2 linked regions of the Pelodiscus sinensis genome follow. The protein of the gene in region 2 interacts with the protein of the main gene of each other region in a pairwise test. Links are inferred from orthologs where the notes say so. Each region holds a gene or a part of one and is shown on either strand. Other genes may lie near its edges.

Evidence for each region.
Region 1: the proteins of AMOT (region 2) and PTPA interact in binary tests that used the Homo sapiens proteins (3 or more experiments, as listed by UniProt). The two-hybrid records come from large-scale screens. The link is inferred for Pelodiscus sinensis from reciprocal best matches to the Homo sapiens genes AMOT and PTPA.

Annotation. Positions count from the first base shown.
Region 1 is NC_134732.1:12,143,438-12,151,182, forward strand, and holds the start of PTPA (serine/threonine-protein phosphatase 2A activator), read left to right. Parts: upstream 1-4,744; 5' UTR 4,745-4,842; coding exon 4,843-4,867; intron 4,868-7,745. UniProt on the Homo sapiens protein: PPIases accelerate the folding of proteins. It catalyzes the cis-trans isomerization of proline imidic peptide bonds in oligopeptides. Acts as a regulatory subunit for serine/threonine-protein phosphatase 2A (PP2A).
Region 2 is NC_134723.1:26,614,399-26,622,078, forward strand, and holds the start of AMOT (angiomotin), read left to right. Parts: upstream 1-4,674; 5' UTR 4,675-4,825; intron 4,826-7,680.

The DNA.
Region 1 (7,745 bases), on a different chromosome or scaffold from region 2:
TTTGTGTGTTTGCCATTTTATTAGAAGGAAAAAAAGGCATGGGTGGATTGCAGTGAAAAAGAAAAAGCAATTATGAAAATATCACACCAACGCAAACAAAAAATCCGAGCATCTCATCTGGATATTACCCCAAGCAGCCCTTACTTGTTCATTTTAGTGCCGGTAACTACCAGGCATGTATTGAGATTCCAGTGGATAAATCTAGAACAGAGGAGCAAGCAGCAGCTCACAGTCTCTCCTTTCCACCTGAGGAATGGAGGCAGTCTATGCCCACCAGGTGAGCCTCCATCCAGGTGATGCTTACTGGTTAACCATTCACATCCCTAATAGATACTTTTAAAGAAAAAGTAAAAGTCACAGAACCTTCAAGTCACAGGACAGGCAGCACAGCTGTGATGTGGAGAAAAGGGAATTCTTTCCACAGGTTAAAAAAAACAATCCACAACTCTGCATTCTCCTCAGCTCTATCAACTATGGCTTGTAACAGTATTAATTTCAACTTTGTTTCAACAGCAGACAACTAGTGTGGAAAGAGATTTAGTAAAGGCACTCCTGGAATATGTGAATATTTTCTTAATCAGATAAAAAAAAAAAAAAAAAAAAAAGGAAACCAAGAGGCAGCGCCCAGGTGAAAGAATTAATCAGTTTAGTAACTTAGCTCTTGGCAGAAGTGTGAGTTGACAGAAGGAACATAATCAACTTCTGCAAGTGACAAAGGTCACTCCCAGCCCAGGGAAGACCCAAGAAGTGTTTTGCTGGTAAAAGACACAAGGGGAAAAAATTTCAAAAAGAAAAAAAAATGAACAAATTGAACAATACTTACAGCTTTTCACTGACTGTCATAATTGAAGACTGATCCTGGCGACTGGCCAAACCTCCCTCCCTTTAATGAAGTTACTATACATCTCGAGGAAACTCCCGTCCTTTGCAAACTTCCACCTAGCAGTAATCTTCCCGTCGCTCTCTGCTTTTTAATGATCTTTCTTACAAAACACTTGCACGTCATACAAGAAAAATCACACCATAGCTGTACAGAGACAAGCTAGATCTTCTCCACCCTCCTCTTTCCCATCCTGTATTAAGTCAGGGAAGGACATTTCTCTTAATGCCCCCTTCAAATCTCCAAAACAAAAACAAAACATAAAAATAAAAAACAACAAACTTTTCAGGTTACTCTCAATTCTGCATGTGTCTCGTAGCCTCTGGAAGCCCCCTGGTTTCATTCTCAGGAGACCACATCAGACACTCCTGGATAAGGCCATGCATGGGTTGTTAAGGCCATGCACTGTCCCAAGGTTGTTCAAAGCTGAGAAAGCTCCCCCTGCCCTCCCCCCAACGTTAACCCAGCCTGCAAAGCAAGCAGTGATCAGCTGTTACTTACCATGCTCCTTGCTATGAAGGCCAGCATAGCCCTGCGTGTGCACCACCCCGGCTACTAACCACTGCCCCCGAGTGAGCAAAGTCCTGTCAACTCAGCAGCCCCGGCCTTGCGAGACACAGAGACAGTTAGCTACAGTGTAACTTCAGCAGCAGCAACCCAGCTACAGCGTAACAAGTCCGCACGGCCGTCCCTGGCTCAGCAGCCGCTGGGGGAGGGCGCAGCAGAGCAGCCATCTTTGTGTGGGGCACAGCCCTCCTCTGCAATGACCAATAAGCAGAGGCGCGACCATCTTTGTGAGGGGCAGGGCTCTGCTCTGCATAGCTCTCTGATGACAGCTGATCCCTGGTCTAAACTAGTGCAGTCATCTCCTCCCTTTCTCAGTTCCTGATCTCAGGAGTTAGGAGGGAGCAGAGATCAGCAGAAGGAATGGCTTCTGAACTAGGACTTGTGCCTGCAGAGAGAGGAATGTGTATTAAGTGAAGATATGACAGCCCCTGCTGATGAGCTGAAAAGTTTAGTCTTTCATTCAGTCTATAGCAGTTCATGCTTTTAGCTCTTCAGTGTTTTGGCCAGGTGGTAGCAGTCACACATGGTCACTCTACTCCACTCCAACCGAACTGCTGTTGGTAAAATCACCTGCTTATCTTGCCACTCTGACCTTACAACTAGGCTTGGCAGGTTTCCACTTCTATGTTTTATAAGTTTTGATCCCTGTGTTTATTTTTAAACATTTCTTTAGATGTGTATCGGAATTCATACTGTTGTGGGAAATTAAAGGGGGAATTAGACAACTATTAGACAATGAAATTCCAAAAGTTAAAGCTTTGTAAACATGAAAGCACTCTGTGCACATCATGTGTCAAAATCCACAAAGTAAATATCTTTAAATCAACAAATCATATCTGTTTTTACTATTCATTTCCGAGACTATTTGTTTAATTCAAAAGTCTAATTTAAAAAATCAATGGATTTTGAATCCAAGTTCTCAAACTGTTTTTCTTACTTTGCATATTGTGCATTTTAGTTATTATTCATGGGAATGTTTTTGTTGGTTGGTTTGTGTGCGTGTGCATGTGCGTGCATGCAGTGAAATAAATGTTTGCTGACATCTACTGACAAACATTTAATTCTTTAAAGCCAATGTATCAGTGATGGGCAACCTTCGTGGACTAGTGGGCCACATAACTAGTGGTGGGCTTGCAGCCCAATAGGGTTCCCGTGAGATGCATGTGGAGTATGGGAGCAGTCTGGGGGGTGCACAGGCCACAGGTGAAACCCCAGTGGGTTGCATGCGGCAATAGGGCTGCAGGTTTCCCACCACTGCTATATATAACCTTTCCCCTCAGCCCACCCAAGCTGTTCAGATCCCTTCCCTGACTTTCTCCTACATTAAACTAATCTCTTCTTCTTCTTCTTCTTCTTCTTCTTCTTCTTCTTCTTCACAACTCTGCACAATGCTACTCTTTAACTATTATTTCTGTTTTCTGTTCCTTCCTATTTCCCCTCTCCCCAGCAGTGTTAACCCATTGGGGGGGTCCTAACCAGAAATATTTGGGGGGCACCACACAAAACACAAACTAATAATTAATAGAGGCCCCCTTGGAGCTGCACAGGGCCCTAAGCAATAGCTTAGTCTGTTTATGCCTAGCACCAGATTAGCCCCTGGGCCTGTAGACTGTGCTCCATCCAGCATTATCCCACTCTTATCTATGCATTTTTCTCTGTGCTATAACTTATGCTTGGGACAGTCTCTTTCTCAGTGCCAAATGTTCTTCCTCTCCTAGGAATCCCTCCTTAAAGCAGATATCCTTCTAGGACATATTTCAAGAATAGTACACCAATAAAAATGGTAAGGGAAAATATGCATGCTACAGGGAGATGAGATCCACAGCCCTGGGTTACATCACAGTGTCTGATGCTGACTTCTAGTGACTTGTAGCAAGAACAATCTCTGCCTTTTGATCCCATACAACACTGACAGTGCTCAACACTGAATTAACAAGAGAGGGGATGAAGATGAAGTAGTTGAACCTGTGTCTGGATTTCCAGACCTCCCACAGTTTAGAGATGTCTTTTTCTCTTCCTTTCTCCCTCCTTTTATAAAGAGGGAAGCTATCTGCTAAATTATGGGCCAAAGCAGGGATTAGGTCTTGGAGAGCATTTGGAACTGGAGTTTTGGTTTATCATATGCAGAACTAGTAGTGGCATCTATAGTTCAGATTACTTTACAATTTCCATTATAAGATAGTTTTCACTTGCTTATAACCATGACAAACTTCAACTATTTGAGCTGAAATGTCCAGTGTTGGGTGTCTGACACACGCTGAATATTTTGGGAAAGTTTCAGCAAAAATGACCACGCCATTTCTGAGACTGAGTTTGGGGGAAAAATACCTTTTTTAGTCCCCATCGATAATTATTTGGCAAGGATCCAGTGGAAACAATATGAAGTGTTCCTGTAATGAAAGACTATAGTTCAGGTGTTCTCAAACTTCATTGCACCATGACCCCCATCTGACACCAAAAATTACTTCATGATCTCAGGAGGGAAATTGATGCCTGAGCCTGAGTCCCACTGCCTTAGGCAAGTGTGTGGGCAAAGTCAGAGCCCTACTGCTTCGGACAGGGTGGTCAAAGCTGAAGCCCAAGGGGCCTGGAACATGAGCCCCACCACCAAAGGTGGAAGCTCTCAGGCTTTGGCCCCGAGAGGTGCAGTTTGGGCTTCAGACCCGGGCCCCAGCAAGTTTGTCAGCCTTGATGATCACCTTAAAATGGAATGGCAACCCACTTGGGGGTCCGTATCCACAGTTTGAGAACTGCTGCTGTAGTGTAACGCAAGCGTGCAAGCAGGCAGAACCTTAATTCTGGAGTTTGTGACTTTGGGCTGCTTGACTTTGAAATCGTGTAAGCTACAAGAATGTAGCTTTTTTCAGCATAACAGAAAAGAGGCTGCCCTTGAAATGGGAATCCGGAGCTGCGTTTGGATTCCCACATGTCACAACTCCAGATGTCAGAGACTCCAGAGTCTGAAGTGTGCTCTGGTTCTGAAGCACACACATCTCCTGATTTTGGGGGTGCCAGATGTGCCATAGCCCATCGCACCTCAGAGGCAGGTGGGGGAGTCTCCTAGCTAGTGAGTTGTGTTCTGCAGGGCTATCTACTTCCCTGGCGCCTGACATTAAGTCAAGCCCCAAAAGTTCCTTAATGAATGCGAGTGCCCCGCACAAACATGGCCGCCTGTGTGTGGAATCCGGAGCGCCCCGCACAAACATGGCCGCCTGGGTATATGTGTGTGGAATCCGGAGCGCCCCGCACAAACATGGCCGACGGAATTACTACGACTGCTTGTGTGCCCCGTGCAATATGGCCGCCGTGCCCGGCACAAGTATGGCCGATCGACGCGTCAGTTGTGCTAAGAGGTTAAAGGTGATAACGGCGGGGAGGGGGCTGGTTCCAGGAAGATGGCAGAGAGCGAGCGGCAGACGGGTAGGGGGGAAGCTCCGCAGGGGGCGGGGGCAGCAGCGTGGTGCTGCACTGGGCAAGGGTGCCCCATAGTGGGTGGGGTTGTGTGGTGCCCAGAGCGGGAGAGGCTGGGTGGTTCCCTCTGTGGGGGCAGGAGATCTCTGTGCCCCATAGGTTGTGTTTGTTGGGGGGTGAGGCTGAGTGATGCTCTCTATGGGGACTGGGTGTCTCTGTGTCCCATGGAATGTGTGGGGGAAGGCTGCATGATGCTTTCTGCACGGGGGTCCTTTCCCCTGTACTGTGAGGGGAAGGGGCATTTGAGCAATGTGCACTGTGCGGGCTGATAGTCTCTGTGCACCAAAATTGCGGGGAGGTCCTGGGCCCTCAAGAGTCTGTGCCCTGAGATGGGAAAGGTGAAGGGGGGGGAGTCTGTAATATAGGGTTCCCTGCTTTTAAGTAGGAATGGGCTCTTGAGGAACGGTTACTGTGCTTTGGAGTCTCAGGGTGTGGGGGAGCAGGTTGCAGTGTCCCTCTCTGTGATGGCCTAGACTGAGAGCCCCAGAAAGATTGATGCTAGTCATGGGGGCAGTTATTCTCCCCTGGCTCACTGGTGAAGACTTAAAAAACAATGGATAGTCCTGCAGCACCTTAGAGACTAACCAAAAATGTAGATGGTATAATGAGCTTTTGTGGGCACAACCCACTTCTTCAGAGGAATGGAGTTAAGGGGTCCAGGGTACAAATAAATAGCAGAGAGAGAGTGGGGATGGGGAGGGAAAGAGAGAGGGGAAAATGGGGGGGAAAATATTGTCAATTAGTGACTATGCTGTATGAGGCTAATAGAGTAGGCTCTAAGTACCTGGTGCTTAGCTTTTGATGTCATTAGGGTGTGGAATGTAGTGGCCCATCCAGTCCAGGTCTTTTTTTAGACCTTGTTTCCAGGTGTCAGACTTATACATTAAACCAAGTTCTGTAGCTTCTTTCTCAATCTGGTTTTTGAAATGGTTTTGTAATAGTCACTTCTAGATCCATTCGTGAGTGCCCAGGCAAGTTAAAATGTTCCCCAATGGGTTTCTGTGTATTAATATTTTGAATATGAAAAAACTTAAAAAACAACAAATAGTCTGGTAGCATTTTAAAGACTAGATTTGTGAAGACTTGTACGGGAAGGAGTAGCTGGTAGCAGGGTCATTAAGGACATAATAGTCCAGTGTTTCTCAACCAGTGGTACGAGTACCCTTAGTGGTACATCAACACAACTGAAATTTGGAGAAAACTGAATTTTTGTTTTAAGTTTTATAGCGCTTTATTATTTTTGTATTTTTTACACCCAAAAATTCCATTGCCTGCCTGGCTATTATTAAGTTGTTTAAACAAATGTGTTGCAATGGTAGAAAAAAAATGGTGTCTGAAAACTGTAGGTACTGGAGGTACTTATAATTTTTAAAGGGTACTTTATGTAAAAATGTTGAGAAACACTGTAATAGTCAATGGTGGCTGTGCTTCTTGGGGGCAGCAGAGGGGATGTGAGGGAAAGGTGGTTTACTGAAGTTGTAGTTGGCACCTTGGACCTGTCTGTCACCTGCTGTTGCCTTGGGCAGCTGCTATTCTAGGGATAGATTTCGGTCCTTTTGCTGCTGCTGTTGTTAATTCTCCCCAGAGCACTGTTCCTTCGCTCTTGCCTAAAAGTTGTTGTGTGTATATTACGGTAGCTCATTTTGTGCTAGGTGCAATACTACAGCTAGCAAGAGACAGTCTTTGCCCCAGAGGCCTTGCTTTCTAAATAAGAGGTGTGTTGGAGGGGGGTTAGGGAGCACAGAAAGAGAAAGTGATTTGCTCAGTAATGGCAGAACTGGGATCATAGCTTGGGCCTCCTGAGTCCCTGTCTAGTGGCTTATCCCCAGACCGCACTGTCTCTGAATCTTCCTCTGCCCTCTTACGGGTGATCAATATTCTTGGTAGCCAAAGCTTTCCTTCATCAGTGTACTGGGGGGTTCATTGAACTTTCTGTTTATTATCATTGATTTTAAAGCATTTAAAAAAAAACTTTTACACTAATGCAATATTTCTGGATACAAATAAAATTCCACATGCACTCTAACATGCAGGGGGAAATTAAGGGACAGAGAAGTTAAATGACTTTCCTAAGGCAGCACACTGAAGCTGTGGCAGAGCTTGGAATGGAATAGTTTTGATTCCTAGTCATCTGGTGTGATTCTAGAGAGTGCGCCCTTCCTGGAAAAAAAGGAAGAACTGAGAACACTTTTGGGCAGTATTATCTGGGCAAGTCATTATAAATGTTAAGCTTTTGTTAGAAAGTGATGTTTTAGAATTTGCTGTTAGTGCTAAGAATTTTTATTGAAGACAGTGTTGTCTCAGTGCTTGATGTTGGACAAAAGATTTGAAATCTTCTAGGGCTGAAAGTATTAATTGAGGATATTTCATGCTAAATATCCTCTTGGTTTTCTGGTTCATGGTTGTTTGCTGTATTGCATCTTGATTTTAAGCTTGCTTATGGAAACATAGTGCAAATGTGCCTTTAACCTTGTGGCAGTGTTTCCAGCTCTGCAGTGTCCTCGCATGGGACTGCAGGCTGAGACTAGAACCAGTTGTTCACCTTGGACTGCAGAGGACTTGGGAAAGGAGTGACCCTTATATTGGGATTTATTTTCTTTTTGTGAAAGCTCACCGAAAAGAGGCTTCTGGCTAAGTGTGTACCCGAGTGGGGAAGCAGGAATGTTGCTGATGTTATGCATGAATTATTTGCATTTATATTGTGCCTGCCATCCCAGGATCTCAAAGTGCTTTACAAAGAGCCTCAATTCTGTCCCACAGTTAAAAGATGGTACTTCCCAGCCTTACCCTAAATCCAACCTAGGGACAGTGGCACAGTACTGAGAGA
Region 2 (7,680 bases):
GCCTGGTTTTGGTCTAAATATGTTAGGGTATGTCTACACTACCCCGCTAGTTCGAACTAGCGGGGTAATGTAGGCATACCGCAATTGCAAATGAAGCCCGGGATTTGAATTTCCTGGGCTTCATTTGCATAAGCGGGCGCCGCCATTTTTAAATCCCCGCTCGTTCGAACCCCGTGCCGCGCAGCAACACGCGGCACGAACGAGGTAGTTCAAACTAGGCTTCCTAGTTCGAACTACCGTTACTCCTCGTGGAATGAGGAGTAACGGTAGTTCGAACTAGGAAGCCTAGTTCGAACTACCTAGTTCGTGCCGCGTGTAGCTGCGCGGCACGGGGTTCGAACGAGCGGGGATTTAAAAATGGCGGCGCCCGCTTATGCAAATGAAGCCCAGGAAATTCAAATCCCGGGCTTCATTTGCAATTGCGGTATGCCTACATTACCCCGCTAGTTCGAACTAGCAGGGTAGTGTAGACATACCCTTATGTAATAGGATGTAGCTGCTGTGGAGATTCTTAACACTAGCAGCTTCCCCGAAGGGGACATTTAGGGATGTGTTTCTAAAATACCCAGACTTCCAACAGAAGGAAAATACAGGGCAGAAAGGAGGTGGCGTATGCGGTGTCTTTTGGGACATACCATGTCTCAGTGAAATGTGAGGCCTGTGTTGTGTATATGCCTTTTGCATGCTGCAGATTTACATTTGTCCCAACATCCAGTTAGCCTCTTTCTACTGATTCCTTTTGGCCTCTTAATGGGTTAGTCACAATGTAGGCCCTATTGCAGTAATCTGAAACAAGACTGAGGTAAAGGCAGTGCGAACAAAACATTTTTAAAGTATAGGTATGTGGGTCTAACACACTATACTCTGACACTTGTGCATATAGACAAAAAATATGTTTCCAAGTGGGTTGTAACCATGATTCACACATGCAAATTAGTCAGGTCACCCAAAGCGTGTTGCTTTTTGAGCACCTGTAAAACTAAGCCTCTGCCTTCCCCCAGTCTACTCTTTTCTAACTACTAGATCCACTTGAAAGACAACAGCCTTAATTTTCCTGTAACACCACTATTTCATGCAAGTAACTGCAGTAGGTCCCACAAGAACATCACGTGCTTGTATGTGAAAAGGGTGCCACCAGTGAGGAATTCTTTGTTAAAATATGGTCTGGATTATGACTAAGTTTGCGAAACCCTTGACTAAGAGAAATAAAACAAGGAAGATCAAAAATAATGCCTCCAAGGGGAAGAGGGTCTCAGACATGCTGAATCAGTTGTGACTCAGGAAATGGCTGCTGGTCTAGTTTACATACAGGTGCCATAGAAATTTAAATATGCAGGTTACGTGTTAACAATTGACAGTTCTTCCTTGCTTCTATATTTTTTGTTACTCTTCACTTACTAAATATCTTATTCTATACTATTTTCCCTCATCACCTTCTGATTTCTGTATTGTAGAACCACATTTCCACTATGTTGATTTATGACTAATATAATGTGTAGTTAACCCAGTGATGGGAAAACTAAGACAGTGAGTAAGCTGCATGAGTGGCCCTCCATCTGAATGAGCAGCAAGATTGTTGTAACCAAGACTGTCTTTCAGGATGGGGTAGTTTTGCTAACTCTGCTCGTGTACCTAGAATTTGTAAAGTATGCCAGTTGAACAATAGCAGCACTTTGACTGGATTGCAGAGGGAGTACATGGCACTCAGTCAATATTTTGTGCAGTTAGTATACCACCTCACTTCATGTGCCTTTGCTTTATGTGCCTGTCACTTTAGTAATACTGGTAGGAGGAAAATTACATGGATGGAAGCCAACAGAATCTGGCAACTCTGCAACAATAAACAAAGTGTGTCATGGGCCACACGTAGAAACCTGATGGGCCATATGTGGCCCACAAACCACAAGCTGTGTATCAGTGAGAACCTGTAATGTTTTTGATTTATCACTCCCAACCAAATTCTAAGCAAATATAATTAAAACATAAAAGCAGAATATTAAAGAAGATTATCATTTAAAACTATGCCAGGTTTATGTAAAAAAAATGCAAATACAGCAGTGTATAAGAAAAAGCCATTGACGTCATCTATCAAGATATTTATAAAGTATTTCATCACAGTGGTTTCTAGGTGCTAAAACAAATTTAAGGGTAGCATGAAATTTTAAATGGCTGAGAACTATGCTGCCTACTAATTCAATTAGTATGGGGATCTCCTGTATGCTCATTTTGCAATGTTCTTTTTTACTGTATCTTTGGCCCTGTCAGGATGGCATATGTAAAGAGAGAGTTCTCAAATCACATTGTGAACACAAAATGCAGGACTATGTAGCACTTTAAAGATTAACAAGATGGTTTATTAGATGATGAGCTTTCGTGAGCCAGACCCACTTCCTCAGATCAAATAGTGGAAGAAAATAGTCACAACCATATATACCAAAGGATACAATTAAAAAAAATGAACACATATGAAAAGGACAAATCTCATTTCAGAACAGAAGAGGGATGTGTGGGGGGGGGGGGGGGCGAAGGAAGGAAGGTAAGTGTCTGTGAATTAATGATATTAGAGGTGGGGAAAGTTAGATGTCTGTGAGCTACCATTACATTTTTTTTAATTGTATCCTTTGGTATATATGGTTGTGACTATTTTCTTCCACTATTTGATCTGAGGAAGTGGGTCTGGCCCACGAAAGCTCATCATCTAATAAACCATCTTGTTAGTCTTTAAAGTGCTACATAGTCCTGCATTTTGCTTCAGCTACACCAGACTTACATGGCTAAATTTCTATTACTACAGGTAGTCCCCGGGTTACGTACCAGATAGGGACTGTAGGTTTGTTCTTAAGTTGAATCTGTATGTAAGTCGGAACTGGCGTCCAGATTCAGCCGCTGCTGAAACTGATCAGTTTCAACAGCGGCTGAATCTGGACGCCAGTTCTGACTTACATACAGATTCAACTTAAGAACCCCAGGCATCCCCAAGTTAGCTGCTGCTGAAACTGATTAGCGGCTGATTCCAGGAAGCCCGGGGCAGGGGCTTCCTGTAGTCAGCCACTGGTCAGTTTCAGCAGCGGCTGACTTGGGGACGCCTGGGGCAGAGCAGCTGGGGTGCTACTGGGTTGGTCCAGTAGCACCAAGGAGCGGTGCTGCGGGACCAACCGGCAGCGCCCCACCTGCTCTACCACAGGCCTGGGGCTTTGCTCCACGTCTTCCTGGTCTGCTGGAGGGGGGAGGGGGACCACTAGCTGCGCCCCCCCCAGCAGACCAGGGACACGGGGAGCAAAGCCGCAGGGGCGGTGGGTCTGCCTCCCCGGCTTTGCTCCAGGTGTCTCTGGTCTGCTGGAGACGGTCCCCAGCAGACCAGAGGCACCGGGAGCAAAGCGGCAGCGGCAGTGGAGTCTCGTGCCTCTGAGGCTTTGCCAGAGCAAAGCCTCAGAGGCGCGGGACCCCTCCGCCTCCCCAGCTTTGCTCCCGGTGTCCCTGGTCTGCTGGAGATGGTCCCCAGCAGACCAGGGGCACCCGGAGCAGCTTTTCTCGCCCCGGAGGTCGAGGTGGCGGGACCGCTGCGCTCTGGGCAGTCCCACTGCCTGCGAGCTCTGGGGCGAGAGAGCCCCGTTCGTAAGTGCGGATCCGACATAAGTCGGATCCACGTAACTCGGCGACTGCCTGTATTGTGAACACAGTGAGGCTTGGAATCATTTAGGGGCAGTGAGTTTTATGGGTTTAAAGCTACACTAATTCAGATAAGTGATTTTGAAACTGAAACTTTTTAAATATAAGTAGCAAATTTCATAATCAGGCAACAACAGAAATCACTGTGTATGGATGCTGCCCTTAATCACATTTGCTTCTGAGCAATTTTTATGGTGCTGATGATGGAAAAAAAATGTTGGTAGTACTTGATGGGCACATACTGACCTTTTACTGGAGAAATACTGAGAAAACTGCTACATAAAGAGAATTTTTTTATTGCTCCACCACAGTCTAGAGACATAACAAGAATGGCACAGCATCTGCTGTGCTGTGCTGTGTTGTGTTGTCAGTAGAGCTAGATGGATGAGACAGGACTGTGGAGTGCAGCTACCTACAAAACATGAATGATAGCTGAAGCCATACCTGCAAACATCTACATAGCTTATTCTGACCTGCATGAATAATTAAGATTAAAATGTTTGTTTAAAAAGCTATTTCTAGTTTCTTTTCTCCCACAGGCCAAATTGGATTCCACAATCTCAAATGTAAAATATAAGCATTTAGATTTCATGTGCAATCTACTAAGTGCAAATTTCAACCTTCTGAAGTTGTAGCTTTCCTCAAATTGAATAAAATCGGGGGAAGAGCTTTTATGGTCAGAGGGAGAGAGAGGGTGTGTGTAAGTAATGCCTAAAACAACACTATGAGCAGCCAAGAGTGAATTGGACACCCTCTGCCTTAGCCTAACATCAGTCACTCAAGCAAAAGGTTGCTTTTTGTCTAGAGAAAAGACTATGGCAGGGGTGGTTATTTTAAATAGGGCTCACAACGCATTGGGATCTGGGCTGAGAACCCTGAATGCAGCAGCGGAATCTCGTCTTCCCTGGGGACCTTTCGGGGGGTGGGTGCCATGGTGAGAGAACTACACTTCCCAGAAGACGTTGCAGCGGGTTCCCACAGCGGGGCATGCTGGGAATTGTAGTTGGAGCAGCCTAGTGAAAGTTAATCCCCGAAGCGGCGTCAGGCAGTTCCCAGAGCTCCTCGGTGTGTCTCATTGTCGTGCCGCCTTGGTCACCTCTAGGGGGAGCGGCGCAAGATGGATGAGTGGGCGGCTGCTGGGGCAGGTGCCCACGGGGTAAGCACATGGGGCACTGCCCCCCAGGGTGCGTGGGGGGGATGATCTACCCGGCACACGAGGGCACCTTGCGCAGTCCCGCGGCTGCCGGTGCAGGCGAGCTCCGCCCCGGGGCTGTGGCTGCCGGGAGGCAGCGCGGCTTGTGTGCCGGGCACAGGGCGTTCTGCAGGGAGCGGCTCAGCAGCGCCGGGAAGGAAAAGGCGCCGCAGGAGCTTCTCCGCCGCTGCCCTTTGAACTGCTTTGTAGCCACTAACAAAGGGCAGGGGCGGGCTGGTTGCGCCGCTTCGCCCTGCCGCGGGGCTTTACTCTCCAGGACGTTTGCGGAGACGGATTTGTGGCTCTAGCTCCCTCCACTCGGCAACCGGGAGAAACAAAACCTGCGGGATCCCCCCTCCCCCACCGGAGCCAAGAAGGGGGGGGGGGGCTGGCTTTACCCTGCTGCCCATCTCGTCCCCCCTCTGCTCCTTCCCCAGAGTCCACTGACTCCCCGCAGTTGACGGAGGGGGCTGCCCTCCCCTTCTGCCCCCCATCTGCACCGGAGCCAAAGTACTGAGAGAGGTGCAGGCTGGCTTCATTCACTCCTCTGCACTCTCTGTATGGCTCCAAAGGAGCTGTCTCCCCCCCCACCCCCCATTGAGAGACGGGATGTCTCCCCTCTCTTCCCCTCCTCTCCTTTTACACACCAGAGAAAGGAGCTGTGGGGTGTGTTTTTGTGGCTGGGGCGCTTGGAGACCTATGTTTAGTTCTTGGCTCTACCACAGATTCCTTTTATGATCGGGGAGGGGGGGGAGGCTGCGGCATTCATTAGTATCTGTGTGTACTAATACAAGAGGAGTGGGGGCATCGATCGGATAGAGGAAAGGACCCCACCTCCAGCTTACTTTATGGCCCAGAGAGAGCCCCCTTCCCCATCACCAAAGTGAGGGACTGTCCTGTTCTACCTGGATCCACAGCTCCAAACCTGTAGCATCTGCATAAAGATTTTGCTCCCTTTCCCTGTCCGCTATGGCCTCATTAAATTTGGAAGAGAGTAAGTGAATCCATATCCCTTGTCTGGGATGTGTTGCGAGGACAAGCTTTTCACTCAGTCTGCAATAATCCCAGCAGAGGCAGTAGGTCTAGTATTCTGCCACTTCCTGCAAATCACATGTAGCTCCACAAATTTATTTCTGTTTTTTAACAAGTGTAGGGATCCTGCTAATCACTGCAGCCATGGGCAGGGTCTGGGCCTAGTGATCTTGGAGGCCAGGCACTGAGGTGATGGCAAATCAGGAGAATATAAAGGTTGGGAGTCTGTCTCTGTTAAACCTATTAAATATCCACTATAAGCCTGACCTTGTAATCCAAGCACAGGGAGGGAATAAATCCCATTAATTTAAGTGAGCATTAAGAGCTAGATCTTGGGTTCTGTGGAAGCATAGCTCATAAAGTGGACTGAAGGTGGGTTTAAACTTTCTATGTTGGGCACAGCCAGGAACAGATAGACCCTTAACATCAGTTGGAGCAGCCCATAGTTCCCACAGCAGTAGCTTCCTAGGATCTGTTCTACTAGTGGATAATGCCTGCTGCACAAGTCTCTCAGTAATGCTCCTTTCTCCTGCAGCTTCCTATATTGGAGGAATCCTCAGCTGCATGGCTTACATATCTCAAAGGGATCAGAGCAGAGACCAAAGTGCGGGGTTTAAACTTCCTCTGTGTCACTTCACATAAATACACATCTGACAAAGCGTTTTTTTAACCAAGAAAGCTTATGCTATGGATGTTAAAAAGTGGTTAATTAGGTAACCATGTAACCACTGAAAATTCTCAGCAGTTACATGATTACACTGCAGGCTCTGCAGTGTAAAGCTTATACTGCAGAGCCCCAAAGCACAACTGGCTCCTTGGGAGCAGAGCTGGCTGGCCCCACTCCTGGGGAGCTGGCAGCGCTGCAGACTTTGCAGTATAAGCTTTAAAATGCAGCCGGCTCCCTGGGCATACTGGCTTTTAAGCCGGCTCCCAGTGCATACTGGCTCCTGCCAGCTGGCCTGCTGCCATCCTGCATTGCAGGCTCTGATACAGAGCGAGCAGCACAGGGTGGCAACCAGCTCCCCAGGAATGGGGCGGAGAACCTGCATGTAACCGTTAACGGTAACTGATAAGCCTAGGCTTATCAGTTTAAATTATGGTACTATTACATCCCTAGCTTCTACACAAATAAATTTGTTAGTCTTTAAGATGCTACAGGACTCCTCATTGTTTTTGCAGATACAGACTAACAGGGCTACCCCTCTGAGATTTCACACACAAAAAATCGGTTTACTCTTAACAAAGATCCTAATTTCAGTCCCAAAATGGTATGAGAGAAACAAGAGATATGACTTTTTTGGGGAAGGAAAGCGTCTGTTTTAATTTTATTTTTATTCCAATATATAATAATAAATGGTAATACCTAGATTTTACTAGCACTTTTCATCAATAGATCTCGAAGTGCTTTAAAGAACAAGTATTAAGAATGCCTGTTGCAGGCTCTGAACAGATAATTAAGAAAACAATCCAATAATGAAAGCAGCAGTGGCAAACCACAAAAAGCTAGTTCATATAACCACAATTTCCACACCCCTCAAATAAAATTCCATACCTCCAGTACAGGCAGTCCCCGACTTACGCGGATCTGACTTACGTCAGATCCGCACTTACGAACGGGGCTTTCTCGCCCCGGAGATTGAGGTGGCAGATTGCTACCTGCGAGCTCCGGGCGAGAAAGCCCCGTTCGTAAGCTGCTCCGGTGCCCCTGGTCTGCTGGAGACCGTCTCCAGCAGACCAGGGACACTGGGCGGGTTCCCGCGCTTCTGAGGCTTTGCTGACCAGCGCTG